Linked DNA regions of Struthio camelus. The protein of the gene in region 2 interacts with the protein of the main gene of each other region in a biochemical or structural test. Links are inferred from orthologs where the notes say so. Each region holds a gene or a part of one and is shown on either strand. Other genes may lie near its edges.

What was found.
Region 1: of the proteins of USPL1 (region 2) and RANGAP1, one has a biochemical effect on the other in vitro, tested with the Homo sapiens proteins (2 studies listed by BioGRID). The link is inferred for Struthio camelus from reciprocal best matches to the Homo sapiens genes USPL1 and RANGAP1.

What each region holds. Positions count from the first base shown.
Region 1 is NC_090942.1:56,872,357-56,888,869, reverse strand, and holds the start of RANGAP1 (ran GTPase-activating protein 1), read right to left. Parts: upstream 6,572-16,513; 5' UTR 6,245-6,571; intron 6,201-6,244; exon of another isoform or gene 5,924-6,200; intron 5,490-5,923; 5' UTR 5,452-5,489; intron 3,797-5,451; 5' UTR 3,770-3,796; coding exon 3,658-3,769; intron 2,556-3,657; coding exon 2,428-2,555; intron 1,505-2,427; coding exon 1,445-1,504; intron 774-1,444; coding exon 594-773; intron 1-593. Other genes in the region: ZC3H7B (zinc finger CCCH domain-containing protein 7B), read left to right, coding at 13,262-13,448, 15,617-15,709. UniProt on the Homo sapiens protein: GTPase activator for RAN. Converts cytoplasmic GTP-bound RAN to GDP-bound RAN, which is essential for RAN-mediated nuclear import and export. Mediates dissociation of cargo from nuclear export complexes containing XPO1, RAN and RANBP2 after nuclear export.
Region 2 is NC_090942.1:199,397,811-199,413,603, forward strand, and holds the start of USPL1 (SUMO-specific isopeptidase USPL1), read right to left. Parts: upstream 8,303-15,793; 5' UTR 8,071-8,302; intron 3,797-8,070; 5' UTR 3,729-3,796; coding exon 3,630-3,728; intron 3,079-3,629; coding exon 2,950-3,078; intron 1,752-2,949; coding exon 1,094-1,751; intron 1-1,093. UniProt on the Homo sapiens protein: SUMO-specific isopeptidase involved in protein desumoylation. Specifically binds SUMO proteins with a higher affinity for SUMO2 and SUMO3 which it cleaves more efficiently. Also able to process full-length SUMO proteins to their mature forms.

The DNA.
Region 1 (16,513 bases), about 140 Mb from region 2:
TCTGTTCAGGACTGGTGAGGCCACATCTCGAGTGCTGGATCCAGTTCTGTGCTCCCCAGATGTGGACATACTGGAGTGAGTCCAGCAAAGGGCACAAAGGAATTGGAGAATTTTACATACAGGGAGAGGCTGAAAGAGCTGGGATTGTTCAGCCTGGCTGAGGGGTGATCTTATCAACGTGTATAAACAGATGATGGCGAAATGGGAGGGGAACTAAAGATGTCAGAGCTAGACTCTTTTTCAGCGGTGCCCAGTGAAAGGACAAGGAATAGGTACATAAAAATACATGAAATATGCATAGAATTTAATACATTTCAATATATTAACAACAAAAACCTTTTTTTCCCCCACTGTGAGGGTGGTTAAAAACCAGAACAGGTTGCCCAAAGAGGTTGTAAGTCTCCATACTTCGAGATATTCAAAACTGACCGGACATGGCCCTGAGTAACCTGGTCTAGTTGACTCTGCTCTGAGCAGGGGGGCTGGGCTAGATCGTCTATAGAACTGCTTTCCAACCACAGTAATTCTGTGTAGGGAAGCCTGGAGGCAAATCCTAGCTCTAACCTCGTTCCCAATACGGAGACAGCCCTTACCTTGCCACCTCCAATGCCCATGCCACAGTTATTGAGCTTGAGTTCCTGCAAGGTGTAACACGCTGGGCTCTTCAGCAGCGCCTCAAAGCCACGCACGCCATCTGGCCCAAAGGCATTGTCACTCAGGTCCAGCTCCACCAGCTGGGCTCCAGCAGCGATGAGTGCATCTCCCAAAGAGATCTGTGAGAAAACAGATGGCAGGTGGGGTGGGGAGAGAATAGATTGACTTTTAGTGACAGCATCACTGCAGTGGCTAGTGATGCAGCAAAGAAATTTCTGCTTTGAAGGCGTTCTGCAAAGCTGCACAGTGAAATAAAGCTTTGTGGTTAAAGTCAGAGCATGAGGTGAGCAAATTACTAAAGATAACTGCAAGACAGTTATCAAGCAGCTTTCCCATCCTTTTAGGTCAAATATACATTTTTTTTCCAAAGTGAATTACCCCTCTGCACCACTTGAAGGAACATTTCTTCCTTCTGTTGAGTTTATCATGTTCTTGCTCCGCAGAACTCAGTGGTGGTAGGTTTCTGTAACACTCTTGGAAGAGAGGGATATATGCTTTTATTTAGAAAGCTTAGTTCCCACACTACCTATCAGAGCACAAAGATGTTGGTTTTCTCCAGGATAAGCTTCTTCACTAGTTTGGACCCACGTTTGGCCTTTTATCAACTCTTCACCATCTTGTACAGAAGGAGCACAAAGTCACTCACCTATCCCAAGGCATTTACTGTTAGCCGCACAGAGAAAGATCATCTCTGTGCTAACAAAGCCTTAGAAACATACTCCCACAGAAAGCACGACAGATGAGAAAAGAAGTTATATTAGTCAAAGTCTCCGATCTAGTTTTTACTTACCAAAGCAGGAGGGATCTCAGATCTTAGCCTCCCTGTGAACATATCGCTCCAATGACACCTCTAAAAGAAGAAACACATACAGATAGAAGAGAAGCCATTAAAATATTTAGAGCACAGTTGTACAGAAGTTTACCCATAAGCTGCATTGCAGCCCTGGGGACAACTTAGCACTGCCTGCATTCCCTTGGGCTTGTCATTTGATTACACTGAAGAGCTACGAGAACTAACATAATTACTTTACTTGCAAGGAAATAAAACCATTGAAGTGAATACTGTAAATAACACTATACAAGAATTCTTGCTTGCGTTCAACTTGTAATTCTCTTCTGCTAAGAAAATTCCCAGAGGAAAAACTGGCAGGAACTAAAGGATACATTAGAAATGGGCTTCGTACCTTAAGAAAATCCACAACAATCCAGACTTACTCAAAAAGCCACGCTTTGGCGATTAACGTGAATCAACATCTCATACTCCTTTCCTGCAAAGGACAGTGTCTCTAGCACCACAGCACCCTTCTAACATTAGGCTAGAACAGTAGTAGGAAGCATAGTTAGGGCACAGAAAAAAATCCTTGTGCATTTCCTCCATTATTTCTTAAATATTCAGGCATTCTTTGAAGAGTCCTTCTAAGGAGCAAGAAGATCCAAGCCAGCTTTTCCATTATAACTTAAGCTCTCTTGGTCTTTTGTTACACAGTTCTCTGTTTGCACATGCTGCCTCTGCTGAGGTCTTCCTTGGACAGCTTATCAGCTTTAAGATCGGAAGCCTTCTGAACAGGATCAGTTCCGAATACACGACATGTTCCCACTATCCCAAAGTCCCCAAGTTCTGCCACATTTTCATATGGTTGTTCCTCCTACTGGAAGAACAAAGTGAGTTTTGAGGCCAACTCGAGGCATGCTGCTGTGGGAAGAGTGTAGATAGGCCTTCAGTATTTCTACAGTACTTCTCCCCTTTCACCACCACCCACTTGAGGATCTCACCTTGAGCTCCGATTTCTTTTCCAAGGCTTTGGCAATGACCTTTGCTGCCTCCACACCTACTGTGTTGCCTTCTAGGCGTAATGCTTCCAGGCCATCAAATTCCTCAATTTGTTTGATCACTTCTTCAGCTGCAAAGAGCAGACAGTCTTGTTGGCCTTTTAACTAACATCTTAGGTACCTCAGTAACACACTGATGCACTTGCTCAGCTCTACCCTCAGCCAAAACCGCTGAGCAACATTATCTGAAAGAATCCTGAAACAGTAACGGAGAACAGAGCTGAAGTGTCAGGTCACTAGAGAGAATGTGTTCTCTGTTCCCCAACCTCCCTTTTCATAATTTATTTCTAGTTCTACGATCAGATAGCCATCTTCGTATTTAAGAAAGTAAGTTTGATTTGTTTGTTATCCAGCACACAGCCTAGGAGTTGGAGGTGCATACATCTACAAAGGTGCAAGGACCAGGCTAAAAGGTGATGGGGACAGACGTCCCAACAACAACAAGAAGTTCCCCATGACTGACAAAAGTAGACGCCTGTTCAGCCATTACAGTGCCGGGGGAAGCAATTTAACTCAAGAGCAATCCTTTTTCTTAAAATAAAGGGAAAAAAACACATAAGTACACACTATACCAAAGAATAGTCTCAAGAACACGCTGTTTCTTGAGGTGGTAGGAATGTCGACCTGCATATACATATAGATATATTCCAGGGTTTTACAACACTAGCAGCCACTGCAAGACATTGTTCCTTGGGAAAGACACACAACATTAAGAGACAGGCTCCAGAAAAACCATGAGTCTAAAACTGAATCAGAGTTTGGGGAAAAAAGGGACTATAGCAGCAGACTAATATATCAACCCATTCTTCTACATAGGTCTTCGAAGTATACAGTTGCTCCAAGCACTATGATGTTGCCTAGTGTTTTTAAAAGGAGAACCGACATTTAACACAGTGGTTGTCAAAAGCACTTGGCAGGAATGTCAAGAAAACAAGAACTATACACCACACAGCCAAACCCCAAGTTCCTCAGCAAGCAGCACTGCCGGAGTACCAGGTCAAAGCAGCATGGGAGAAGGGAAGAAAATATCTCTATCAGAAGCAGCTGTAACAAAATAACCCTTGCACCCCAGCGAATATGAAAACTTGGCCATGCAAGATGGGATGGAGGTTTACTGCAAGACATTAGAATTACAGGGAGACACTTCCCCAACACAAGGATATTTTCTCTTACCATCTTCTGCTGTATTGAGTTTAAGGCTCTGGCCTTTAAAGCTCAACTGTGCTCCACCCACTTTGGTTTTGGCAAGTGACTCCGCAAGCTTAGTGATGTCTTCTGATGCCATCTTTTCCGCTTTCCCAAACTTTACAAGCTGTTAATTAAAAAGAAACTGTCAACATTAGAAAAGCAAACGATGATACATAATCTATATTAATAACTGTCTTATATTTAAACACTAGTGGTTTTTTGTTCCTGAGATATCTAATCGAGTTTTCACTGTCATTAGTGTTTTCCCTCATAGCTCACTCATGACAGCTTGGCCAGATTAACATTTCAAAGTTGGATTTGGTTGATTTTTCCAGTCCTGAAGAGGCTCATGTTTTGTTCTGATGAAGTTGGTAAGTGGTTTTAGCTATTGGTTGCTTATGAAGTATAACGAGACCACGTTAAGACACTGTTTTGCATACAACACTTTCACAGTTAAGATGTGACATTCTTTTCTACCCAAATCTAATCCTTTAATTACACGCACCCTGCACATTTCCCCTCTTCTCCACGCCAAACTAGAACGAACACAACTGTTTTCCCCTTTCATTTATATCCCTAGTAGTGCTCATGTCAGCACAGTTCTAGAATCGCTGAGCTGCTGAAAAACATCATGTGTATTAGCTACAAAAGTCTCGCTTAGATTTGTGGGCTTGCTTTCTTTTTGGCTGCCCCACAGAGTCGTACTCAAACACATTAAACAGATATATATATATGACCCTGATATAACCCTGATGATGGATCAGGGAACACTTCACTTCTATGCACAAATTGGTGCTAGCCATGGCTAGTAGCATCTGTAAATCATTATCTGATGACTATCATCACTCTGAAGTGAATGATCCCTGTTCATTCAGCAGGATAAACAGAGCATTTTTCTTTGGTGGTTTCATGGTTTCTTTCCACCTCTGCTGAAATAAGGGGCTGCAAGCAGCTAGTGCTTAGAAGAAAAAGACCTTTAAAAGAGATTTCAGGTGTTAACGAGGATGCAAGTTAATCCCTACAACTGCACAAAACCGGACCCCTTCCACTCTTGTCTAACTTCAAGGTGAGCACAAAAGCTTGCTGCTCTTTAAGCCCCTCCAATGGGGAGGATTTTAGACACCCCCTAAATGAAAGTTGTACATACATCCTTTCCTCCTGCTACCTGGCTGTAAAAGGACCTGCCTCCAGCTCTGCTCAGGTAGTGCCTTTCTCTTAAGGTTTATGAACTTTAGTACTGCTGCTTTTGGACTTGCAGGGGGAGGGGGTTTCAAGGTTCATCAACATTACCATTTCAGGATGACTGACCTCTCAGATAGGAGAGGAGTAATTATTTGAGCATCTTTCTGCTGGCAACATCTATCAAGTCACTCAGGCACCATGCTGATAAACATGCCTAAACTTCTTCCAATCCAATAGCAAAGAGAAGAAACAAACAGAGAGGGTGTTCTCCAACTCACAAAGGCTCTACCACACAGGAACAAAAGTTAAATAGGATCCAGAGAGGTCAGTTCGCTCACCTAAGTGGATTCTCAACTTTACTTTCGAGTATCTCATCACCCAGCTGTTTAAAAATGAGTTCTGTGTTCTGCTGTAATGTTCTTTTATAATCTACAAGCATACTCCCTCCCTCCCTCTGCTTCTCTTCTCCCTAAATCCCTTTTTTCTTTCTTCATCTTATACATGGACTACTTCCTGATTTCAACATCCCATTTCTCCATCACATCCTGAAGCATGTTTTACTGCAAACACATCAGCCACACCCAACTGTTAACCTACCAGAGGTCTCTTCACTGCCAGGTCTTCTGCAAGGAAAGCTTTAAAAAAATAAATAAATAAATAAAATCAACAGAAAAGTTAGTAGAAGTATTCTTGGCAAACAAAAACAAGGTCTAGAAATGCCTGAAGAGACGTTTCCTTATTACTTAACCACTGCATAATGCTGTACACTTCCTGATGGTCAAAAAAAAGTTACTTTAGCTCAATACTTTATTTATAATGGTTTATCCACGCTAATGGACAAGACACCGACTATCAAGCGCACTACCCAAGGGGGAGCCCTGCTGTGCACCCCGGGCAATCCAGAGCCCCACACCCCGCTCCCCGGGGAGCTCGGTGACAGCCCAAGGCTCCCCTCCGGCAAGTCCCCGACAGGCTCCCAGTGCGCCTTTCCCTTAATGACGGCTAATGGCTCCTCTGTACCCCTCAGGAAGGTGCGGCGCACCGGCCGCGCCGCCGCCACGCCTCCCACCTGCTCCCCGAGACTCCCCCGGCTTCACAGAGCCGACCCGGCCGCCTCGCGACGCCGCGAGGGCTGGGGCCGGGCACGCGTGACCCGCACCCGCAGGCCACGCACAGCGGCGTCACCGGGGCGGCGGTGGCAGCGGGGGGGGGGGGAGGGGGAAGGAAGAAGAAGGGCACGTGGGAGCGTCGCGAGGCCGCCCCTCCCCCCGCCGCGAGGAGCCGGGGGCGGTGGCGGGGGGAAGCGGCCGGCGCGAGCAGAGCCTCGCGCGCCCCCGCTCCCGCCCGCCGCTCCCAACGGGCGCCAACCGCCGCCGCCGCCCCGCCTCACCTCCGCGCCGCGAGGGGGGCTGGCGTCGCCGCGGCCGCCGCCGCCGCTCGCTGCCGGTGGAGGCGACCGAGTGGCGTCACCCCAGCTCTCCCGCCGCCGCCGCTGCCGACAGACCGGGGGTGGGGGGGGGGAAGGGAGGGAGGAGGCGGAGGATTTGAAAGCCGGCAGTTTTGTTCTCCCCTCTCGGATTGGCTGCCCGGCGTGACGTCACAAACCCCCGTCCCTCGCCGCCCCGCGCGAGGCGGTGAGCGTCAGCGTGCCGCAAGCCGCCGGCCGGCCGCGCCGTGCGCGGCGGAGCTACGGGTGCCACACTGTCCGGCCAGGCGCGGGGCACGCCGGGCGATGTAGTTCTGCGGAGCGGGGCGGTAGTTCCCGGCATGCCTAGCGCGCAGCGCCGCCCTGGGTGGCGGCCTAGGCCCGGGGCCGGGGTGCTGGAGATATAGATAGATAGATATATAGCTATAGATATATCTATATATATAGATATAATATCTCCAGTGGGCTGGATATATTCAGCCATTTGGTCCCAAAACATGACAGTCTTTTTTTTTTTTGTTCCTTCATTATTCTGTGACTGAGGTTTTAAGAAACAATATCAAATGCTGTTTATCCAGACCCAAGACAAAACTTGAACTAATTGGCAATGCTGACTGACACGGGAGGCCACGCTGAGGCTGAAGACACGCTAGTCCTTCTTCATTCTAGGAGAAAAGGATAAATAAGTTTCTTTATGGAGCATGACAGCCGAAAATATAAAAGCCACCAACTGGTACAGCAGCTAGATAGAAAGCTTGAGCTAAAGCTAACTCATAAGTAGTAAGAGGAATTTCTCTTGCAACTGAAGAAAATGAAGAAGCTGAGGCACTGACTAGATTCTGCTTGTGCGTAAGGAGCATAAAGCTATCAGAAAACGTAGAGCAGATGAGGAGATAAATTAGCGTGATCTTGAGAGGGAGCCTGAACTCAGAAACTATGAGCGAGGAAATTGCTCCTATTATTCCTCCTGATCTTTAGCAATAAACAGGATCATATCAAATCTATCTCATTCCATTCTCTATTTTTCTCCCAAATATTGTCTAGCTACATGGGGCCAAAGGGGCAAGAGCAAAGACTTCAACTGTGGATGCAGCTATACTGGACTAAAGGTATATTATGCCATTGTAGCAGATTCCTTCTCCTCAAAGGAATAGCTTCACAAATCAAACTCACTTTTATGCAACTGTAACTCAGTTCAGAGTAGGAATTTGCCACCTTTTGACTCTGCTGACTATGTGCATACTAGACGTAGATAACCTCATTTGCCAGTTATGAGAATTTGGACATTAACCAGTAAGGAAAGATGTTATTCATGAGTGGGGCAATACATACTGGATCATGACTTTATGAGACAGCCCTCGGTATTATAAGCGAGGAAAAAGTGGGGTGGAAGAGGCTGTAATGCGATGCTCAGTGAGGAAATTCAATCTTAAAAAATGAATGTTCTTGAATAAAAGAACCGTACTAATTCCAGCGGAATTCCTTATTATGTATAGATTTTGTTTTCGTTCCTCTTTTTCCTCAGTTCGTCCTAAGCCCTCTTGTTCTTCTCATGCAACTGCTACGTCTTGCCTTTCAGACGTTCAACTCTCACAGCAGGGTTGGAGGCATCTTAGGCGCCGTGACTCATCTGAAGCTTATTGGCTCCATGACGCTCCCCTTCCTATGTGATCTGACATGTCAGATCTCCCCATGTTTATCTGTTTCCACCAGGCCTGCTCAACCTTCCTTCTGCCTAAAGCCTCCCCTCAACAGGAATTGTCATTTAATGTACATTTTGCACAGCACCTTCTGCAGTGGAGGCCCAACTTGGCTGGACTTGTCATTGCCTAAGAATCCAAGGTAACAAATTGCTGAATAGTTAACAAAAAATAAATATTGTCCTATCTAAAAATAACAGTCATCTTTGGATCGTATCAGAGAACATAATGAATATCTAAAAAAAAGTACATTGTGATTAAATACTGTGAACAGTGTAAGAAAGTGTTCTCCAATGTCATATGGTACATTATATAATTTACAGCCTATATATCATAAATTTTCGGTTTATTGTGTCAAAAGAGCTGCCAGAAGCCAAACCTACTCAGTATAACAAAGTCTATCCTGTTCTGACCGGAATGCTTTAAACATTAAGCAGGTTTAATACATTTCAGACGATACTTTCTACCTGCGTTCGAACATTGGCTGAGTTACTTATCTGCAAAGCACAAAGTGATGCTGTTTTGGGTCACTGTAAATGGCCAAGTGAGACACTGAGAGGTAAACATGTCACTGATTACATTTGTAAAGAGGTGATAATTTAAACCAGCATCAGTCTGGAAATTACAATCTGACAGTAGACAAAATCCTTAGGGAGAGGAAAACCTAGCCTACCGGGGAGGGTGGATGAGGAGCTGAGCATGAAACTCATTCCAGAGGCTTATTTGAAGTTAATGATGTTGCAGCTGGACAGGGATGGATGAAACCCCTGTCTAAGGGGGTTTGTGTATCTCTGTGTTCGCAATCATCTGCCATGACCCAAGAACAAATGATGATAAAGCCGTTCCTGGGGTTCTGCCTGCATGGAGCGTTGTGGAGAATCAGGCCATTTCCTGAGACTGTTGAAGGATTTGGGATGAGAAACCAAAAATCAGATTTCAAAAAAGCACCTAAATACATATGTGTATTAAAAACTGTTGTAAGTCTATAAATATATGCATTGTATATGTATATAACATATGTGATGATATTACATACAATATACATAATTACATAATATAATAATATGTAATAGATCTATACACTGTGTACGTCTTCCACAAAAAAGTTTACGTTTTTAGAATATATTGTGTCCAGGAAAACCCCTCAGCAGTGTGGGGTGGATTAAATAAGCTCTGTTTGCAATTGCTCTGCCCCCCCGCCAGCAAACATATATGTATGGGCAGAAGGGCCACTTCATGCATGGGATAATCCCATGAGGGTCGCATCATTCCATTCAGTTCATTGCTGCTCCTCACATGCATAAATTACTGTGCAAAGGCAGCTTGGGATCTTTTGCTTTCTTTTGGGGTGTGTTTTATATCCACAAAGCCAGACATCCGGCAACGAGGAAATTGCCTTATTAAAATAAGAATGAGCTTCAAACAGTTAAGCGTGTTAATTTTTTTTTTTTTGTTAAAGCTAATTCACGTAAAAAGAATTTCAAAAACAACCACAAGGGAAAGATTGTATGAATTTTTGTAATGGAAACCGGTAGCCTCTAGGGCCCAGAGGATATGCAGGGAGGCATTTTCTCTTGCTGGTGCAGCTGAGAGAGAGAGAGGGAGGGAGGGAGGGAGGGAGGGAGGGAGACCTGGAAATGAAAGTAAAGAGATCAGGAGGCACATGGAGGGAGCTGCAGGGGCAGCCGATCCAGAAGCAGAATGCTTCCTTCTATAATTAAATAACACTTACTATTATTATTACTTATAGTAATAATACTTTAATAATATTTCTAGTAATATAATACCATTTATCAAGAAAAGTTATACATAGTGTGAGGGGGAAAACCCAAGGAGAGGTAAGTCTTATTATTGTTTTGGGGGGTTATTTTTTCTTAAACCATATATAAATATATATATATATATATATATATAAATATGTCTATAAAATATAAACGTATTTATGTATGTATAAAGGGTGGGCTTTGAAAAAACAAGAACATCTTGATGTTGCTTCATTTAAAAGTAAACATTTCAAATAGCAACTACATAGAGGAAACGTTTTGTAATTCCAAATGTAAAAAAAAAAAAAAAGTGGAGAAAAAAAAATTGACGGGATTTTGAAGCTGCCCCCACTCTTCCGCCAAAATTGTGGGGTTTGCAAAAAAATAATTGTCAGAGATCCTAATCCCACCCCCCGGAGAAAAATGTGGTAGTAGTCTAAAAGTGAACAGCTTGCTAAAAAGCCCTTGGGTTTGCATTAAAAACTTAGTATTAATGGTGTTTGTGCCGGCTGCTGGTTGTAAGATTTCAAAGCTCTGTTCACGATCTGCGTTTAGCCTGCCGTGTCCCCCCTCTTATTTGCTATAAACCCCATGAAGCAGCCCTTGTGCCATAGCTTCCCAGATGCATCTTCCTCGGGGGCTTGTAAAGTTTATCAAATAAGTTGTTGTTGTTGCTGGTTTTTTTTTTAATTCTTTGATGCTTTTATACCGTTTCCGGGTAGAAGGGGAGGTTTTTAATATATATATATGTATATTATATATGTTTTTTCTTTTTTTTCTTAAAGTAGCCTCCCAGGCTCCCGGAAATATGTGGGTTTTATTTAAATAGGTTGGCGGCGGCTGGGGGTGGGGGGTGGTGGGGGAAGGAGAAGGGAGAGTGTTTTGGGGGTTATTTTGCTTTTTTTTTTTTTTTTCCGGGGAAAGCCTGGCTGTGTCTTGCCGCCGGAGAGCCCCCCGCGCTGCTCCTGCCCCGCAGCAGGCCCCGGGGGCGCCGCCGGCCCCTCTCGGCCGCGGCCGGGCGAGGCGGCGCTGGCGCCCGCGGCGGCCGCCAGGCGAGGCCGGGGATCGGCGGCCTACGGCGCGGGGTGGCGGGGGGGAAGAAGAGGGAAGCGCTACTTCCCGCGTCTGCGAACCGACCCGGGGCTTTAATTATAAAAGCGAGGCAGGGCTGGGTGGACAGGAAATGAGGAGGAAGCGGTTGAGGGAGAGAAAGCAGCACCTTCCCCCCCACCCGGCCCCGGGCTGGGGCGGGAGGGCGGCCTGAAGCGCCCAGGGGCAGCTCCGCCGAGGTGGTGGTGTGGGCTGGGGGGCTCGCCCGAGGCCTCGCACGCCCTCGCCAGGGGGCACGGCACTGCCGCTTTTACGTTCTGCTTGCGGGGCTGGGGGCTGGCGGGAGGCAAGGGTGTTCATGGCAGAGTTGGCCTGTCTCAGTTGGACGTGGTGCCACCCCGTTGCCCATATGGCAGGGGCGTCGGGAGCGGCGCGGCGGGGAGCTAGCGAGGTGCCGGGGGTGGGAGAGCGGCCGCTCTCAGGGGACCTGGCACATCTAAGGATGAGGTAGAGGTGGTGGCGGAGCCTGGCTTTGGGACCCTCAGAGTTGTCGGATACGAGAAGCGTTCAGACCCCATGCGTGGGGAACGGTGGAGAGCGAGCGGGCGCACTCGTTGGGCTCGTAATGGGCCGCGCGGCTTGTCTTCTGCTTGACGTGAATCCGGTTACCTGTTCTGCCGCACTGCCAAGGCGGGCGAGTTGCTGCCCATTAAAGACTCCGTATTTGCAGATTAGCGGATGTGGGAGCCTTTTGCCTGGAAGAGAGCGTGCAGAGCCTGGGGCCGAGTCCCTGTCTCGGCTCCGCAGCCTGCCACTTACATCTCAGTGCACTTGTTTCCTACTGAAACATTACAACCAAAGCCTGGAAATCAGTCGTGTGTGAACTCATTGCCATCCCACAAATACGTTATAAAAAAACTTTGCACAAATTCAACTCTGGCAGGGCTGAGAATAACAACCAGCTCCATAATAGGAGATTAGGTAATAATAGGTAGATTCAGGTCTTTCCGTTTGTCTTATGTTGTCTCTTAGAGTGAACCTATCAAGTCTGTGATTTAGTTAGCCTGCTTACTAGCTTGCGCTTCCTTCCGAAGGCAAGGAAGCAGTTTTGCTGATCTGCGGTGTTTTGTTTCTGCCTGGCAAATAGTTTGTAACTCATTGACAAACTGTGAATAAAGTCCTCTCTAGATGCTGCACCAGAGAAGGATAATTGTAATTTGTCACTCAAGCGACAGAGCTTTGCGGTGGGGGGATATAAGTGTTCTGGATTCAAATTCTGCTGGTGATTTGAGCAGACAAGTCTGGACAGACAGATTTGGGGAGAAAAGGCATATTATTTCCTGAAGTGTTTTCCACTATTTCTAAAAATAATTGTAACATTGAGAAAACAAAAGTTAAACAGGCTTTTTGCTTAAACTTGATTACACATCAGTTGTGGTACTGCGCACAACAGAAGTGTTGCATGTACTGGTTGTTAGTTGTGTGTTTGGTTCCTGGTGTAATAAGTTTGCAGCTTGATCCAAGGGTAGAATGAGACACCGTGAGGAGGCTGGAATGAAAAAGGGAGTCAGAAGTGCGTGAGTCTGCTAGGGGGTGGCCCAAGCGTGAGGTGCAAAAGGGATAAGAGCAGTCGAAACAGTCAGGAGTGAGGAAGGCAGAAGGTGGAGGAGCAACCTGTTATGTGTGGTGGTGTGAAGTCAGATAGAATGGAAAAGGTGGTTGTTCCCACCAAGAGACACAGGAAGTTAAGGTTGCAGAGCATGGTACACATTTTGAGGGTGTTGTAGTGAGAAGATGAGTCTTATGTATAAAGCCGTGACATAAACGTGAAGGTGTGACTGAGCTGTAGATGGGTCTTATGGGACTTACTGAGGTGCAGTATGTTGGTCAGCCAAAGTGAAGTAAGGCTGTACGTAGGCACGTTGGATTCAGTGGAATTCAGTAGGCCAATTTGGCAATGCTGCTGAGGAGAGAATGAGCTGAAGAGGAGCTCCAGGATGCAAGAAGAGTTAGATAACTGTAGGAAGGATAAATTTTGGAGTCTTTCCCTGTAGGCCTTTGGCTTCACTCCAGCCTTTGGTCGATAGCATTTGAATGCTGTCCTCTGTAGGCAAGCAGCAGTAACCAGTTCTTGTTGTGACACGTGCCCACATCCTGCTGTGTGGGATGTTTTATCAGTGGGGCCAGGGTAGCCATGAAAATAGGTACTGATCTTCTCTGCCTCCCTGCTTGAAGTAGTATTTTAAGAAGAGAACTGAGGTCAGTAGCAGAAGTTGTGCCTATTGGATGCTTTCCACAGTGATGTCCCTTCTTTGTGGATAAAGAAAATTGCAAAGGTGTGCCACAGCATTTTTGGAGTGTAGCTGCTGGCTTTGTGATGACCAGCCAGTGTTGAATTGCTCTCCCCACAGTCACCTGTAATCTTGGTGAGCCACTGCTTCACTTCTGTGCCTTTTGTTCTCTCCAGTATGGCTTGTGTCAGGGAGCTGCAAGAGCTGGGCTGCTTCTCAAGGAAGCGTGAGCCAGGAGCTATAGGTGGTAACAGCACACGCAGTAAGTGTGCCCTCATCCAACTGGGTTGCAGTCCTGCTGTATCTGAACAGGGTGGGCAGAGCAAGGTGCTGGTAAGAGGATCCATCAACAGTCCCAGACAAGGTGAAATGATGAGTCTCATCCAAAGTCTACCCAGGGAGCCTAGCAGTAGGAGATGGTGCTAGAGACAGGACCAGAGACAACTTACCCACAGTGTAGATCCAAGGTCTATCCAGGAGACAGGACTGAAGACAGGTGAACCTGCAGTGTAGCTCAGACAAGGGCTGTGTGCCTGGTATTTAGCTTAAATGGAGCCCCTGAGCCATGGGCAGTGAGTGAATGCTGGGGGTCCCAGCTGAGGCTGGTCAGGACATTTACGGCTTTTTAGTGGCCTCAGGGCCCAGACAGCTTGAAAGTTCTCCTTCTTCCCTGTGCTTTCCCTCATGAGGTGCTGTGAGTGTCCTCTTGACTCTTCAGTTCCTACCACCTCCAAATTTGTCTCTTGTCACTTCTTGTGTTGACTCTTTCCCCACCTCATCTCTCATGTCCCTCACAGTTCTCTTCTGCACTGCTCTGGGTAGCTCTGTCCTCTTTTACGGCTGTCAGTACTGTCTGCGTGCAGATGGTTCCTACTGCTTTTTCTCCACCTTGTCTGTTCCATCTTTCTTCTTCTGGCTTTGCAGAATTTCATGCAAAGAGAAATACTGGCAAATCAAGTGGCTCTCTCTTTTTCTACTCCCCAAGCCTTTCTGCCCGTAGCTTTAGTGATCATATTAAACTCAGTCTCCTTGTTAGATTTCCTTCCCTCTTCCTGGTTGCTCATTATCCAGGTTATCTATAAATCATTCCAGGCCTTCTGTTGGTGTTGTACTGAAGTCTACCTGCTCTTCTCCATCACTTCTGCTGAAAGCCTTCATAGAGACTTTGATCATCACTCACCTTGTCTGTTGGCGTTCTGGCTTTCCCCTTCTTGCTGTGCCTGCCCATCCCATTCCAAATGCAGCTGCTTAAAATTTTCCACCTGCTGTTTGGACCAGATTGCTCTCAAATGTACTGTCTGATGACTTACAAACTGCACAGTGTCACTTTCAAATCCTTGCATACCTCTGCTATGATTTCTTTCTGGTCTTTATCTCACTCCTGCCTTTTCTTTTTTTTTTCCTCCATCTTTTCCTTCTGGCTCTCCGTCATAGAGGGCATGAATCAGTTTTTCTACGTTGTGTATAGTGCAGAGTACAATAAATAAGGGCTTTCTAAGAGTTCAAGATTGACCCTCCTCCACACCCCTTAAAGGTCCTTAGCTATCTTAAGATACCTTAGAGTGGTAAGGACGGCCTTAATGTAAAAGGGAGCTGGGCAGTAGTGCTCTCCAAGCTGTGTAGTGCGGGTTGAGAAGGGACTTTTGTTTTTTCTCGTAATCCCTTCAGAGGTGATCCCAGGCTGGGAGTGCACAGTGTCATCAGCTCCGTCTCATCTCTGTGTTTCTGTGCTTGCTGTCTTTGTCCCCAAGTTACCGTTCCTCGAATGCTGAGCATCGTTTGCGATCACAGCTGATTGATGACAAGGCTGGGAAATTTGCAGTAACCAGCAAGTCCTTCTTGCTACAAAAAGTGCCATCCCTTCTCCCCTTCCTTATTCTTGCCTTGTACAGCAGCTCTGTGTACCTTGCAGGGAGGACAGGGAGCTGATCCAAGACTTGATCCCAAAGTGCAGGGGATGAAGCCCATGTATCTAACGGTGTGATTCAAACCCATTTTAGTTGAGAATGGTGCTGTTGCTCCAAAATGAGTGCATCATATTCCTAGCTTATCTGCACTTAAAGAGACCCAGACTGGAGCTGGCTGAACCCAGACAAGTTACTTTGCCTGTTTGTGTCCCTGTCCCTGTTTGCCTGTGTGTGTTTGTGATCGGGGAAGATTACTCTCTTTTGAGTCTTCTTCAGGCACTGCCCACCCCAATTTAAAAGACTGCAGTATGGGCCCTTGTCCCCTTTGCTGGAGAGCGTTCAAAGGTCTCTGCTGCTGTGACTGACCAGTAACCCCTGCAGTGGGAGAAGGCTCAAAGGGCAAGGTGCCCCATGAAGTTCAGGAGCAGTGTAGGATGTGGCTTGTTAAGCCTTGCTGTTGCGCAGAGAACTGACTTTATCTCAACACAAAGGGGGCCGGAGGGTGACCTTTGTTTTAGATAAGTAGCCATAGCCGTTAATTGGACATGTCTCCCTGAGACTAGCCAGACCAGCATGGGGGAAGCCTATATGTGGCTCAGCCCAACAGAGTATAAAACCTCAACAGCTAACAAAGGAATTTTGAAGAGAGCAACGGGCTTGAGCTGGCCTCAACTCGTGTATTCCTTCCTGGCGATTGGGGAGGCCCAGCTTCGTGATGGTGAGCATGTTCTAGAGACCGGTAACGGCAATCACATTGGTATTGTGATTGAACTGTATAAGTGTACACTTGAACTGTGATTTTCGGTATATTGCTGAATCACTCTGCTAAATCAAAAATCCAGTGTAACATCAAATATCTTCAAAATAAACTTTTGTGTTAAGAATTGTGCTCTCCGTATGTGTGGAATATCTAAAGGAACCTGGTCAGAGAGAACTGGACTCTTGACAGCTGCCCTTGCCTATAGGGTTTGGCTGCTGATCTTTAACCTGAAATTCCTATGGCTTAGATTCATCTCTGTTCTTCTATGTGAACCACAGCGAGCAATTCCTTCTTCTTCCTTAGTGTTTCTCTCTGTCACATGCTTCCTGACACCCTGTATAGGTTACTTGTTTTGTATGCCGTGCTGTAAACCAGTTTAAATCTGGCTCAGATACATAGTCAGAACTGCTTATCATGGGAGTGTCCCCGTACAAACTCCTGAAATCATTGTCAGTGCAGGGGAAATGTTGGTTTGGGGGCTTTTTTTTTTTTTCCTAGAAAGCAGTCCTGATTACTGTTGGTTCCCATTGCTTTATTTACTGGCAGTCTAAATAGAGAGCTCAAACTGAAGTAATTTCTCTTTGCCCATGTGTCCTGGCAGTGGCATGTGAGAAAAAGCAGATGCTGGGTAGTGAGCTGCTTGCCATCCTGTATCTGCTGTGTGGATAAATCAAGGACTTCAGTGTTGAGGGCATCTGGTCTGGAACATTTTGTTAGTAGTAAATTCAAGCACACATAAAATATGGTGCTGCTTAATTGCCA
Region 2 (15,793 bases):
CCTCTTTAAAAATATTATGGTTTCTCTGTCACAAAATCTATTAAACCATTTTTCATGCACCCACTGTTTTTTCTAGGGAAGATATGATATTAAGTTACCTAATAATGTTATGGTACCATAGCCTATATACTCCCACGCTCACTTTTCCTAGGAGGTCCACTGAAAAAAGGCTTCATGAAAGGTACTGGCTAGTCAAGCGATCTGCATTAATTCTCTAAAGGAACATCTTTTACAAGTTCAGACTTATGACTCCAGTGGGTCACTTCAAAAGAGCTAGGGAAAAATACATCTTAGTAGTTTAAGAGTCTTAAACCGAACCCAGACTACACAAAAAGATCAAAGCCCATACTAACAGCTTATAGTGACACATCTTCTAACTCCGGCTGTACAGGCTGAAAGGTTGCCTCCAGCTGCTCATCACTGCCCCAGTGCTTGGAGACGACTGCCCTCCAGTCTGCCAAGCCTCTCATGTGGAATGTTCCTAACCCATTCCAGACAGTAGCAACCAAGTTAACAGATCTGACTGATTTTGACTGAAACAGGTTAGGAAGCACTACCATCCGCAGCGCAGCTTGGGGATCTCAGGGGAAGCATTTCTTCAATCAGCACAGCTGGAGCCAGGAAAAGAATGTATTTTCCCAGCTTTTCTATTTCTGGTGTGACAGGGGAACTGTGCATTTATACAGGGATATAAACCACATCAGGAAAGATGCTAAGATTTAAGATTAAAATGAGAACAGCCCTGTAATACATTAACTAACACACAGGAAGGAAACAAAGTCAGGTTCAACTACATGATCAATTCACAACTTACCTACCTGGTATGTAACAAAAAATTTCAAGAGATACTTAATATTTGATCTCTGCTTTCGAAGTGTGCATATTTTCCCTGAGAGAAATATTTTCAGTGGTTACTGAGAATCTGCTAGACAAGGAATACTGCTCTGGAAATTCATGGAAATGAGTTGTAACTCATTCTTTAGTGATCTTGAAATAAAAGGGAAGCAGACTTCAGTACACTGTACCGAATTCCACATATTTGTAGCAGATACATCACGTTGAATATAAAGAAACAGTAGCTAAACTTACTCACCTTTTACCTTACTACTTTTACAGGTATTTAGAAGTGCAGTTGCTTGATCGTATTTTGTAAGGAGTCTCTGGAGTAAACATTTTTCTTCAGTGTATTCTTCTGTTAGAGCACACTTTAATGTTTCTAAGTGTACCAAAGCTGACAAAATACAATCTAACCAACAAAGAGCATACGTGTTCCTCCACTGAAGACGTAAATCTGTGTTATTAGTGGAAACTTTATCATCTTTGAGCAAAATGTCAGATGCTTTTGAGCAAAGTTCAGAATTCGGTGAGAGCTGTGTTCCGGCTGAAGAAGTCTTCGAAGCACTTTCTTGATAACTGCTGGTGCTGCTGGTTGCTTCAATATCCACCTTCTGCAGGAGGGACTCTGCTTTGCTGCTAGTGCTTTGCTGGTCATTCTGTAATTCATCAGGTAGGCTTGGCCTGGGAGTATATAAACCATTCTCACAGTATTTGACAGCAGGATTTGCATTTATAGTCTGCTCAACATTTATCCCATTATTAGTCCTTGCCTGTTTTGGATATGAGTCAATGGGAGAAGAGTCACTAATATCACACAATTTCCTTTTCTTATCAGTATATGGAATTTGATGTTTTTCTGAATCAGCAGAAATAATTATGCTGTTTAATGGTTTATATCCAAGTGGGTAGATACACTAAAGGAAAGAAAGACAGTTATAATGAAATCTACAAAGCAATTTCAGGTAAACAGTAGCTAAAAAATACAAACTATACTGTAAAGTAGAACGGAGAACTTCTGTTAAGTGGTACTTCATGAAATGGATATATAAATTCCACATATATGACAAGAAGGACATTTTATCCAACCACTGTCTCACAAGCAATGGTGAAAAAAATGTATCAAAAGTGATAACCAACATTGCTTTTCCAGTAAAAGCCTGACTGCCCACTTCCAATCCCTGAAAGATGTCCTCATCTTGCTAAGGAAACTCCTCTTCTCTCATTCTGCTATAGCCATTCCTTTAGGGTATGGATTTGGCATTAACAAATCTTTTGTCTGAGACCTCCAAAGCTGGTAGGCTATCTTTCAGGCTAGCCTGATGCTTCAGACCAGGTGTCGGAGGGGTCTTATACATAAGAACGTTCTGTAACCAGGAGAATACAATCCACTCCACTATTCCCCTCCTCGAAACCCGTACAATGATTATTGTAAAGGCTGGGGGGGAGGGAGGAGAAGGGATCGTGAGGGCAACTTACAGACATGTATCTGTATGTGCACTCACATATCTATATTCGCACTCTGTTAATTTAAAGGTACCAGGCCATGAGATTGCTATACTCTGCCCCCACACACGTGGTGGAGCGCAGGAAAGGAAATGGAGAAGAAGCAAAAGTCATCACTAACTATTAAGTAGCCCAGAAATCCAGCTAAGGTTGAAGTTAAAATGGAAAAACTTTGAAAACACTGCAGTTATAATTGCAAACCTATTTGTATTACTGAGAAAGGACGAGAGAAAGGAAAAACAAAAAATAAAGAAAGAAGAATGGGAAACCAAAGTCTGCATTGATACAATACGGGTTACGTGGATCACCAAATTTTAGCTTGTAATCCGATTCATATACAGATTTACTCTCCCTTGTTATGTAAGCCAAATTCCCCTTTTTTATTTTTCAAACTTTTCTTTTGGTTAGCTATCTATGCATAAACACTGTGCGTATAGAGGTTAGCCGTGTTTTTGTCTAAATACAGCCAGATACCGTCTTGCAGGTCAACTCAAAGGAGTCCTACTCCAAGCCAGCTTACCACCAATGAACTCTTGAACTTAAAGAGGTGTAACTTTTGAAGACAAAGGCCTCTACACAGCCCAAGAAAACTGTTAATTAGAATAATACCTGAGGATTTTCACAAAGAAAAATGGACTCTTGAAAATTAATGCGGTAAGTCCGTAAAGCTTGTCTCTGGCCCTTCTCTTTGCAGACTGGGCAATGCTCATGTGTAGTTACTTCTACAGGACTACAGTTCTAAAAACAACCCAAAAAACAAGCGGCGTTAGCTTACGCATTTTATATATTATCCCAACAACAAAACATACATAGCAAGGCAGAAAAGGAAAGTATAACTTATAAATATATATCTGATACAGTATAAAAAAGTAAATTAGATTAGGTTTTGATTATAGCTATAAAATATATATTCATACAATAGAATGTTCTAAATGAATCTATATTTTGCTATAAATATTCAAATATTTAATAAAGTATCTGTAACAACACAATTACATAACATCTCATTTTGTTTGCACTAAACCAAAGGATATTTATTGCCAGAGAACACAAACTCAGATCTCCAAAGACAAACAAGTTTTCACAGGAAAGCTAACAGTTTTAAAAATAGCACCAGTAAAAAAAAATCATAGACACAGATGTACTTAGAACAATCTTTCGCCATTGTTATAGATTTCCGTGGAAAAATAATTTTGAGACTTTTTTTGGAAAATTAAGACCAATTAAAAATCTCTCAAAGCAGAGAAAAATATGAACTTTGCACACATGTAAAACAAGTTTCAACTGACTTTTCCCAAATACCCCACCATGTGGAGTGTCGATATCCCTATACCAGTCCCTTGTCCAATCACTTGCAAACCATTTGTAGTCTTCTGGGCATCCATCATTCTGAGCCACTGGCTAATTTATGTCACTTGTAACAATGTCAAGACCACTAAGGAATTTTCAAAGAACCCTGAAAAATAAGAAGTGAATACAACAATTAAAGAAAAAAATTGATTAAATTTTGAATTAAAATATACCAACAGTAATGCAATCTGTATTTTCTGCAAGAGTGAATTGAGATGCATACTTTCTTGACTGAACGCGCTTATTTTCTGGTGCAGACTACAAACTCAGAACTTTCAGTCACTTTTGGCCAGATTTAGCAGCTTCAGACCTTGAATTTGCAAATCTATGCATTCTTTACACTCCACAAGGTCTCATTTATTTTCCAAGCGCACTATACTTTGCAGAAACAGAGATGTCTTGCCCGTGCACCTTAACTTACTACATCTAACCCTCAGTCAGAAAGATTCTGACATGTTTTCTTTAAAAACGGCTACAGTAAGATCCCGCAGTTACACCTTAGTTGGTGAAGAACACTAAAGATCTAACCGCTGTAGCTTTCAGAACAGTGAATTTTGTACATTAACTATAAAAAGCTTATCCTGCAAATGGAACAATTTCTAACTACAGAAAGGCGTCCTGCTGCTAGTGTCACTACATGGAAACTTCTCATCTAGTCATTTTAACAATGCTATGGACTTCTTAGCAAACTAAAGCTCTTCCACAGTATTACTGCAACATAAATCTATTCCATATGTTGCTAATGATACTGCATATTCCATTTCATATGATTTGTCAAATTCTGGGCCAAATTCTGCCTTCTGATTCACACACATTGTTGCGCACTTACGTAACAGAGGCATATACACGCGCACACACATCTATGTAGAAAGTCTCCAGTACAGACTACATACACATCAGAAGACAGGTTCTTAAGCCCATATAACTCCATCCCTTCACTGGCTCTGAAGCTAACTATATCTTGAATGAGTCAGAAGAACACAGAAGTTTAGAACATTATGGACCCAAATCTATACTCGCTAACTTCAAATGGAGCTAACCAGAATAAATATGCACTCCTTCAAGATTTAGGGGAAGTCAAGGTAGGTGAAATATAATAAAGCTGCAAAGTCATCAAAGTCATCAAGCAGCAAAGTCATCAAAGTTAATATCTTTCCTTAAGTCAATAGTCTCTTTTCCAACGCTTCCACTGAACGAGAACCTCTCCCACAGCACAATGCTCCGCAACTCCTACGCTATAGCACTAACTCAGATTAGAAGACAATTCCTTTTGAATCAAGAACTCAGTTTCCCAAGGCATTTTTGGGAGCCCTGCACAAATACCCGTTCAACCTAACTCATTTACAGTACTAAGCAAAAAGAGACGCTACAGAACTGGACAGACGTTAAAAATGGGCAGAGTATCAATAAAAAAGTGCAGTAGCAAACTGTAATAACTCATCATTCCATATCGATCCCCAAAGACAACTTAAGTTGATGACATATCCTGCTGATACTTTTAACACGTATAGCAGCCCTTTTCAGAAAAAGCAGGCTGCAGGATGAACAGGTAGTATATCGGGACTTTAAAACTAATGGTTATAATGGAAGGTAAGAACAAAAGTATCAACCGGTATGTGCCTCCTTAGAGAGCATATTTAGCTTTTAGAGTATAGTTGGAAGATGTACAAGAAACAACATGGTCCTAGGCTCACTGAAGGTAAAAAACGAAAGAATTAGCTTGAAGTGTGTAATTCTACTGGACTATGAAGGAAAGCCAAGCTCTCCAATTCTTCACATTGCGTCAACCATACTATCACAGCGTATCAACTCTGTTATCCCATATTTAATCTAGTTCAGATGTTGATTTTTTTTTAATATAACATTAGTTTAGCAAATATTGACCACTTTAAAATACAGAATGACGTTGTTCTCCATGCTCTAGCTAATAAGATCTTTCTAACTTGTTCAGGGAACTTTTAGGCACTTCCTTGGCCTGGACCTCATCTCTCCAGAGTAAATACAGTCACGTGATCTATGTATTTAAGTTATTTCTCACTGTAAAAACATAAATTCTCTGCCTGTATTTAAATGTGTTAGTAACACTAACAACCTACAAGTTATTTCTTTTTAAGTATTTCTTGATTTTATAAAGAATGATATCTATTGCTCTGCAAGTGCTTACTCTGTCACTCCTCTCAAAAGAAAGGCAGGTATTTTTCTGCCCATGTTCCCTATCTGATAGTTCTGCTCTTCTGTTTAAGCTTAAATAGCGTTTTGAGATGTATAATGCCTCCTCAACTATAACCCCCCAACAGGAGTATTGTAAATGGTGTGGGCTTCAACATTATCACAATAAATACTTTTTTGAATCTTTATTACATTCTTAATCAACTTTTTATTTCAAAGACATATAAAGAACCAGTTAATAAAACAGGCCTGCCAGTACTAGATATACCGAGTGGTACTAGGCGACCTATCGGTACATTTCAGTATGTGTAAAATTACAGTAAACTATTTGTAGTATTTGCACAACATATAAGAACTAAGAACAATTGCCAAGAAAAACAGATAACTAAAAGACTGCTTTACAAACTACTGAAGCGACCCATTGCAGCAGCATGTAACATCAGCATTACATATCAGAAAATAAATAGGAATATGCTTTCAAGCTTACTGTGCTATGTTTTAAAACATTTATTCTACTTTCCCTTATGCTGGACACTTGCAAAGTATAATGCAAAATATGCTACTGACTAGGTATAATTACTAGGCTAAAGTTAAGGTTCCTCAGGTAACTGATGATCCAATAGGTCACTGCTATGTAATAGGAAGGTCTCGCATCTCTCTTCTCCTCTTTCTCATTCCATCACCAACCCAACAGTTCACATCTTTGTCAGACTTTCCATAAGCTAGCTGAACTCATAAAACAGCAGAAAACTTAAGACTTGAGTGAGTTAAGCTGGTTTATGAAAAGGTCTGATGAGCTGCAGAGATAACGACACAGAAGACAGAAAGCAGGGAAGAGGTGGAGAATTTATATGGCAAGCAGGCTTTTGATAACAGTGAGGTGTACCTTGTGACACAAGTAACAGTTTCAGTATCTTGTGAAATAAGGTCAGTTAGGAACTCCAGTAAGCAGGTTACAGAACAGTGATTACATTACAGTGAACATCTCTTCTAAGCCTAAACTTCTTGCAAATCCTATGCCTTCTCTCCTTCAAAGGGAAATTGAAAAGGAAGGGTGAAAAAAGTTTGAAAAGAAAGTCACACACGTTTACATTGACCACGTTACTAGGTATGTGTGTATTCCTTACGCAAAACAGTCTTTTTTTTATAATCTCCAGCTGTAACTATTAATATTCAAATCACAGAGCATGAAAAAATTACAGCTTTGGCCAAAAAAATGTATTCCAGTAAGTGTGACATTAAAGAGACACTGCTGATGTCATTTGGTAACTGTACCTACGTCACAGGCCATACATGCTAGGCAGAACTACAATTCCATCCTCCTGTGGTGGGCGGCAAATGCAAGATTCTTTCCTGCAAAGAGCCTAACCCAGACTAAGGCAAACGAAGCTGAAATACACGAAGTTGTGAAATAAACTAATTTGCAGTATGATTACTAAGTTGTTCTAAAAGCTTCTTCTATAGTCAAGCTTATCTTAAATGTCCTAGTACACTACATGCTTTGATGCAGGTACTGGAATGTACAGGCACTAAGCATCTTGCCAATGATGCCTTTTAGCGCTTTTACAAGAAGTAAGTTAGTATGGAAAAAATATAGCTTAAACTAGTATTTGTTATCCCTACAGCTAACACATGCACGATTTCAGAAACAGACTCAGGCAGTGGAAGTGAAGGGCACATGGACACGGCTCCAGCTAACTGGCTGACACTGTTCTGGTTGCTGCCCTTCCTTCAACACCAAGTAGTGCTCAAATGCTTCAAAAGAAACCTATGGCAAAACAGCCTCCTTAGTTTTTTTTCCCCACATCCAGAGTGATCCATTCACTAGGGAAAGACTGTAGAAGAAAAAAATACATGTAGTTAATCATTTGAACGTCAGAAAACCGTGCAAGGGAAATATAAACACGTGCTAGTACATCACCACGTACATCTGTTGTTAAATGTTAGCTATTAAAGTTAGCTAACGCTAACTGACTAGAAAGAACAGGACCTCAGAAACACAGACGTTGACAAGAAATACTAAGTCGGCATTCAGAAATATAAGACAGTCATTTTAACGCAACCTAGGGAACAGGCACCCCCGAGTAACGAGGCAAAGGCCTGAACACTGCTCCCAGCAAAACGAGCGCGCCAGGCGCCCAGGCCCTGCTCCTTCCCGCAGCAGCGGCGCGGCCCCGGAGGGGGCGCGGAGCGCCCAAGGCCACCGCTCACCTGCTGGCGGCTCCGCGCCGGCCCCCGCAGCTCCGCTCCGCGCCGCGCCTTGTCTCGTCTCCCCGCGCCGCCGCCGCTCTCGGCTCCCGGCCCTCGGCGTCGCGCTCCGGCGGCCTCGGCGGCGCCCCGCGAACCGCACGCGCGGCCTCCCCGCGCCGCGCCCGTTACTGGCCGCCCGTTACTCGGCGGCCGTTACTGCCCGGCAGCCCCACGCGCCCGCGCGCGAGCGAGCGAGGCGGTTAAACGCCGCCGCGAGGCCAACGGCCGGCAGCGCCGAGCCTGGCGCACGCCGCCGCCGCGCAGCTTCCGGCGCGCGCGCCCCCGCCGCCATGCCGGCCCCGCCCCGCTCCGCTCCCGGCAGCCAACGGCCGCGGAGCCGCCGCCAGCCGGCGGGTGAGGGCCTGCGCGGTGGCCGGCGCTGGGGCGAGGAGCGGCGGAGGTATTTCCTCTCCTCCCTCCTCCTTTTTTCCTTCCTCCTCGGGGCGGAGCGAGGGGAGGGGAGCGGCGGGCCGGGCCGGGCCGGGCCGGGCCGCCCGCCCCGTGTGGGCTGGCCCCGGGAGGAGGGCGCGGCGCGGCCCTACCTGCGTCCTCCCCCCGCCGCCTCCCCCCTTCCGTGCCTCCCCGCGGGCGCTGGCGCAGGAGGCCCGGCACCCGCCGCCTCAGCGGGCCCGGCCTCGCCGCCGCAGCCCGGCCCGTCCCAGCTCCCTCCCGGCTGGAGGCGTCGGCGCTGGCCGACGGGTGTTTTTTTTTTTTTTTAAAATAAAAAGAGCCTGTCCGATTAGGTAGCTTAGAATGTTTCTCGCGGTCGTTTTTGGAGGTTTCGTTCAGGACTGTCAGTTTCCAGGAGCGTTTCTGCGCTGGCAGTATCAAGCTGAAATAGCTTAAGCATTTGATGCAAGTTCTGAAATCCATATCGGCCCCTCTTCCTCCAGCGTGAACTGCAAGGAGCTGGATAGCAGCCGCGTTTAGGTCAACGCTCTGCTTCGGCAACGCTGAGAAGTCTGTTAGCGCGGCCCTAGCCAGGCTGCTCCCGGGGCTGAAGAATGGGATGACTCAGGAAATTGTTCTAGCGATGGCATGAGAAATGTCTTGTATTTTATCTGTCTCCGGTTTGCTGGTGCCTTCCTCTTCATTTGATTTTAAAAAGTGTTTAGCTTTGTATGTTTGGAATTGTGAAATAATTTGCTATGTAATGGTTCTGTTGAGATCCATTTTTGTTTTCCTTTTTTGCTGTAGTTACTCTTCCTTTGATTCCTTTGGCAATATTTTGAAATTAGAATTAATGTTTTGGGATATTTTCCTCTGTTGGAGGAAGAAGTTTTCCTGGCTGGTGAAAGATTGCAATGAAATTCAGTGGTAATTTTGTGAGGGGTGGTTCTTTATTTGGTCTTGGGGTTTGATTCATTAGTGCTTTTATTGTGGAGCAGGTACTTTTTCTGTGTGCTCCCATCAGAAACGTAAAGCACTTTGAGGTATGTTGAATAGGACAGGGAAATGAGTGTCTCTACAGCTGTTGAGGTTGGCCTTTCTACATACATAGCACATTAAATAGAGTATGTGTATTTCAAGTCTTTTTCAACTGATGAAGGTGACTGTTAAAACTGGTAGAGTAATGCAATACATTGAACAATGTTAAGTAGTTTCAGTGGATAGTGGTACTTGTATAATGATTTGCCTCATGGCATTCTAGGTTTCTTTAGTCCTAGTAATATGTTCTTATGTTTAAATTACAGGGCTTGAATGTGTGAAAATTAATGTATGCTCTGTATCTTAATTTCAGTAATAATTTTTTAACTTATGTTAATTATAGTTTAAACTTTTGCTTTTCCCAGGGGTGACTAGAGTCTATTGTTTTGTTTTGAACTTCCATCAAACATATGCTTTTGTTTTAAGTGTACACTGCCTATCAGATGATGTGGTAAGAGTTGTTTGCCTGTGTGAGTTTGTATGTGATCCTGCATGACTAAAGTAGACTTTTTCCTTATTAGTGTGAGCTGGCTTTGGAAAAGCTCCAATATAGATTTCAGTTCTCGTATCAGTTGGACCTCATGCCCTGAAGCTGTTAAGATTTTAAAGCTGACCATTCTCTGTTTTATCTTTTTTCCCCAACTTCTGGGGTAAATTGATTTATTTACCAGGTATTTTTTAAATGCTGTGTAGCGCCACAGAGTCATTTACTGGTGTTTCTTGTTTGTTCCCCTTGACATTCAGGTTGAATAAAGGAAAGACCTTTCTTGGGCCAAAGAAAGGTTACAGATCTGAGCCTTTCCATATAAAGAGAGAATGTCTCATGTGTGTGCATATTCATAGAGATCTGAGGAAAGGGGTTTACATTTTAGCAAAGAAAAGAAACTAAGTATTTTAACTCACAAAACAGTAGAACTTCATTTAACCTGAACAAAATGATCCTAAAGTAATAGCTTCTATGTAATCAAACTCGAGAGTCACCAGGATTTGGTTTAAGCTTTCCAGATGTGGACTGGTAACAATTTTGGAAACTAGTGAGAGTTGCTATTTATTTAAATGTTATTGTCTCTGACATGTTGTGTCAATTCAATGAAATTAGCTAACCATATATGTGCACATGGCTTATGGCTGGTCTTAATTTAACTTGCATTTTTATTTGTTTTTTTTTTTTTTAAATTAGCTTTAGTTAACACAGGAAGAGCAAAAAGGTGTTCTGATAGGATTTTCGAAACTGCTTTGATTCAGGCAATTGTACTACATATCTGATTTAACTGTCTGAATTGAAGTCTGTTGTTGTGTTCTGTTTTCAAATATTTGTACACTTCATAATTACATCCATGGTAAAGATTTTAAAACAATTTAAGTATTAATTTGTTTTCATGCATTATTACACTTCTAGAACATGTATCTGGAATGGATACTTTCCATGACTGAAGTCTTTTGGCATGTGAATTGAACATGTAGCATAACTGGCAAAAAAAAAAAAAAAAAAAGAAACTCTCTCTTTTGTGGGAGAAGAGGAGTAGGTTTCTCAGATATGAGGGGGAAGACTACCATATGAGGGGGAAAATTACTCTATAGAGACTTTTTTTTTTTAAATACAAGGAGAACTCTAAAATGAATGTAGTTTAAGACTCAGTATATATTTTATTTTCAAAGAGTAACATATCTATATCAGGAATCATTACCTGGAAAATAATTATGAAAGTTGGGGAAATAATATTTTAGGGATGTAGTTAAGAGATTATACTCAGGCTGAGAACATATGCTATTCACGTGTGTCTTCTAGAAATGTTTTTGCATGCAAATTATGTACCCGTTGGCAGCTGACTCCTAACCAGATTGTCACTGTGTGATGGTCCCTGGGAAGCTGAGTAGGGAGTGGGAGGTACCAACTGAACTCTGAAGGTTTCATTTCTCAGGGTTTATGTTTGCTTAGTTTTGCTTTTCTTTTTTTAAAAAGCTAACAAAGGAAAATTGAAATCTGCAATTGCAAAAGGCCTTTTTGAAAATGTACATTTAGTTACTTAGTTACTGTATTCCTGTTACATTTTTTTGGAAAAACTTACAGTACTTTATTGATGTTACTTAAATATATATACTACAAAAAGGTTTACAGTCACACTAATCATAACTTTGATACTTTTTAACCTACATAAAGTCAAGATTGCTGTGACTGTAAACCTTCTTGCATTTTCACAACTAGCTTTAGGTCCACAGAGTGGAATATTACATTACTACTAACATTACTGAGTTTAATATGTACATACTGTATCCCTTGACTATTGCATTGTAATATTTTAACCAAAGAAAGGGATATCTTTTTTTTGAGACAGATATTATAAAATCATTAGCCAAAACATTAGGCATTTTTTTCTTTTTGTCAACTGCTGGCCTATTTAAATCCTTTTCTCTGGAGAAGTAGCCTCCTATAAGATATTTTTGTAGTTTCTCTGCCATTTGTATTACTGAACAGCTTGAATTTGTTATTTGCTGTGTTTTTGAAGATAACTGTTACATTGTTTTCATACTATGGTGTCTGTAGCCTAGCCCAAAGCAAGAGGAATCTCCTCGCTGCTCTGAGTTAGAGGTGGATTCTTTTTGTTCCCGAGTTCTTAGGGATGGCTTTTGTCATCCTTAACAGGAGTATCTTCTCTGTTTTGTAGTGAAAAGGTGCTGTCTTGAAGAAGAACTGTCCTGTACTGAAAACTTTAGGCCTGATTTAAAGTTCTGTGAAATCACTGCAAAGATTTACACTTGAGAACTGCAGCAGGCCATCAAAATATTTTTTTCTTGGTTTTCATTCTGTTCTCAGAGTTATTTTACCTCCCTGTCCTAGCACATCTAGGCTTCTGACCCTATTCCAGTAGGGAACAAATAGTCCTAACCTACTAGCTTTGGGATTTTCAGAAGTGGATTGCCTGTAGCAGAATTTCTAGTGGGAAAGTAGCATGGTGAAATTTGCCTTCACAAACCAGTGTAAAGATAGGTGATGTTTGATCTGATCATGACTGCTGTGTTGTGTGCTTGTGTCCCTGGGATTTTTCCAGTATAGGCTGAGTATATTCTGATGGCATCATGGTATTGCATCACACATCGGCATAAATAGAAGGGTATTTTGTTAATCTTGATTGAAGAAATTGACTTGGCCATTAGATGAGATAATGTAGCAACAGTTAAAACAAGATTCGGGTCGCTGCTCTGTAAGAGCAATGGTCTTAGCTGGCTTAATTTTGATGGTGAGGACTTTAAAAACTGATGTGAAAGTTTGGAGATACGTTACTTGAAAGATATGCAAAATAAAAAGGGTAGTGCAAGTGTGGTGTTTTGAAATGCTTAGGTGAACTAAGCATGGATAATATTTGATGGTGAAGTATAATCTGTTGGTTTCTGGTCTCGCACTGGTTTTGTTTATTGGTTTTGCTCTTTAGAGCTGGGTTATATTTGATTTCTAGCTCTCCCTTTTACCTTTGGCCTTTGTACCAGCTTTCTGTTCTTCTGCATGAAAGTCTGAGATTTGTGTTTCTTTTTTTTTTCTTAGTCGTTATAGTTTTAAATGATCAACTTCTGGCAGGATTCAAAAATATTTTGCCAGTAAGAGGGTTCATTATTTTTGAGAAAGATGATTTTCAGCAATGTCAGCTGAACATAGTATTTTACAGGACTTGAGAAAATTGGTGTGATGTAAAACAAGTGCTCAGTTTCTCTTTGGTGATTTCCGTTTATAAAATGGAAATAAACTCCAAATGATATTTATGCAAGTATACAATATTTGATGTAACATATGACTCTCTCAAATAAAAGATCTGATTATTTCATTCTGTTTTCAAAGAAACTTTGAAGGTTACCTATTTATTCTGCTGAAAATAAATGTTGAACCGTTGTGAGCCTTGGAAGAAGTTTCTAAATGTCTTGCCTGCACAACTTGATTTGGATGTTACAAGAACCAAGATTATTAAATAACGTAGTTGCTGACTGAGACATTAAGCAGCTCTAGTTATAATCTATAACTTGCCTCTCCATACTGAGAAAGAAAGAGAAACAATGACATATTCTGGGAAAAGCTTACAATAGTGACAGATAATTTATTCTTACTTATCTGATTAAACCTACACTGACATATTGTTATCTAACCATTAGAGACTTTTCTTTCCAGTACTTTTAGACACTGTAGCTGAAATTTATGGCGATACTAGCAAACATTATCTAGTAGTCTTTATCTGACTTAGTCTTGGATTTTTGCACTCTACAAACAAATTTAAGAAATCACTTATCCTGTGTAAGGATGCTCTTATCGTTGTAGTTATTGATGTTACGTGTGAACAGAGGCTTCAGTTACTGGAATCTCATCCTAATATGTACTGTATAAATGCAAAAAAAGACTTCTACTTATTTTGAAGAGTTTGAAAATACCTATCTTGCCTCTTCTTTCTCTAGTTGCTCACGTGTTGTATATTTCTGTTTTTTTTTTTTTTTCTCGCCACAAAACTGTGCAGGTGTCACACCAAGGTTAGCAAACTATCTACAACTTGTGTGTGAAGTCAAATATGCCTCTAAGCCTTTGCAAAATCTTTCCTGCATTTGAAATATTCTTCAGGTTCTTTTGTTTGTTTTTAAGTCTAAAAATTTAGCATCAGACCTAGATTAAATGCATATTTGTGAAATGGCTAATTAATCTAGCAGTATCAATCCATACTCTTCAGGTAGGATTCACTGAACACAAAAAAAGTCTTTATGAAGTGTTGGACACAAATATTTTTATATGTCAATTTTTATTTCGTGGTGACGCTGAGAGGCCGCATCATCATTCAGTTTCATTGTGCTGATTGCTGTAAGAACACATGTGATTCTTCACCCTCAAAAAACAAACATCTTAGATCTGAAAACTACTGTCCTTCTCAAAAAAAAAAAAAACCCTTTGTGTAAACTCTTTTTCTATAATTCTTAGGCTGTGTGTTGTCAGAGGGAGAGAAGCAAAACATTTATTTCAAGACTTCTTTTTCTTTTCCCCTGGAGTCCAAAACATCAATAGTTCAAATGCTAGCCAAGAGAAAGTGTCACTACCCTCTTGTTTGCTGATGAAAATTTATCACCCTTCTCATTGTCCTATTTGCAACTTACAGGCCAGTTAGCTTCCTCTAATTATATATCCTCTTCCCTGTCAATCTCTTGACCTTTCTCTGTACTTTGAAGCGAGAAATAATTTGTTCCAAATCAGTGATAATGTTCAGTAATTTTTCTACATAAAGTATAGTTTCTACCTTTCACTTTAGAACAAAAGAGAATGGCTATAGTTGTCCTTTTCATTCTGATAATGCCCTTGTCTTATACCACAAATGATATTAACTGGGCATACTGGTAATTTTCATATAATCTGTGATGTGTTGATGCATGAGTTTCATGTCGTCTGTAAACAACACATGATATTTGCCACTCAAAACTGTCTTTTTTTTGTTTTCTAGTCAGAGTTGTCAGGGAAGTATTTTGGCACCTTGGCCAAAACTCAGTACCAGCCATCTGCTAAACTGCCTTTTTTATGGCAGCAGCACCTAGCAAGCTTTGGGTGGATCTGTCTTTATACAATATTACGAGAGTGTCTCCTGGAACAATGTGTTGCTCTTCCCTCAGAGGTGGTGCCAGGACAGTGACTTGTTGAGCTTCCTGTTCAACTAGAATGCCAACTACTATACAAGGTTGCAACAAACAGGCAAATACGGTTTCTTTTGTTGCAAAGAAGTACTCTTTAGTAAAGCTTTACATTCTAAAATACTAGAGCAGTACAGTTTGATATTAAAAGGTCACTGAAAAGTTTAGCAGAATAACTATTCAGCTTCATTAACCAGCAAAATATTAGATTTTTTTTTGGACTTTACTATAAGATAAAATTATTCAAGATTAAGCTTGAAATTTTGTTGTTAAAGGTGCTGTCAGTTTGTGGACCCATCTGATCTGTCACTTTGAGCTGTAGGATTGCTTGCTCAGTTCCTGCCTCTTGCTGTTCAGCAACCAGGCTGCCTCACATGCATATTCAATGCAGTGCTTTCGCTGCTTTTCAGCATTAGGACTACAAGCTAGATTTAGTGGTCAGTCTGATTTGTAGTCTGCTGTATAAAGATGTGTGTAACATTATTACTTGGTGTTATTTACACTTAAAAGTCCAGCAGTAGCTTCCTACCTTCATCTGTTAACCATGGCCCTTCTATGACTGTGTGGCTAGTGCATCATGTGACCTAACTTCTGCATCTTACACACTGGC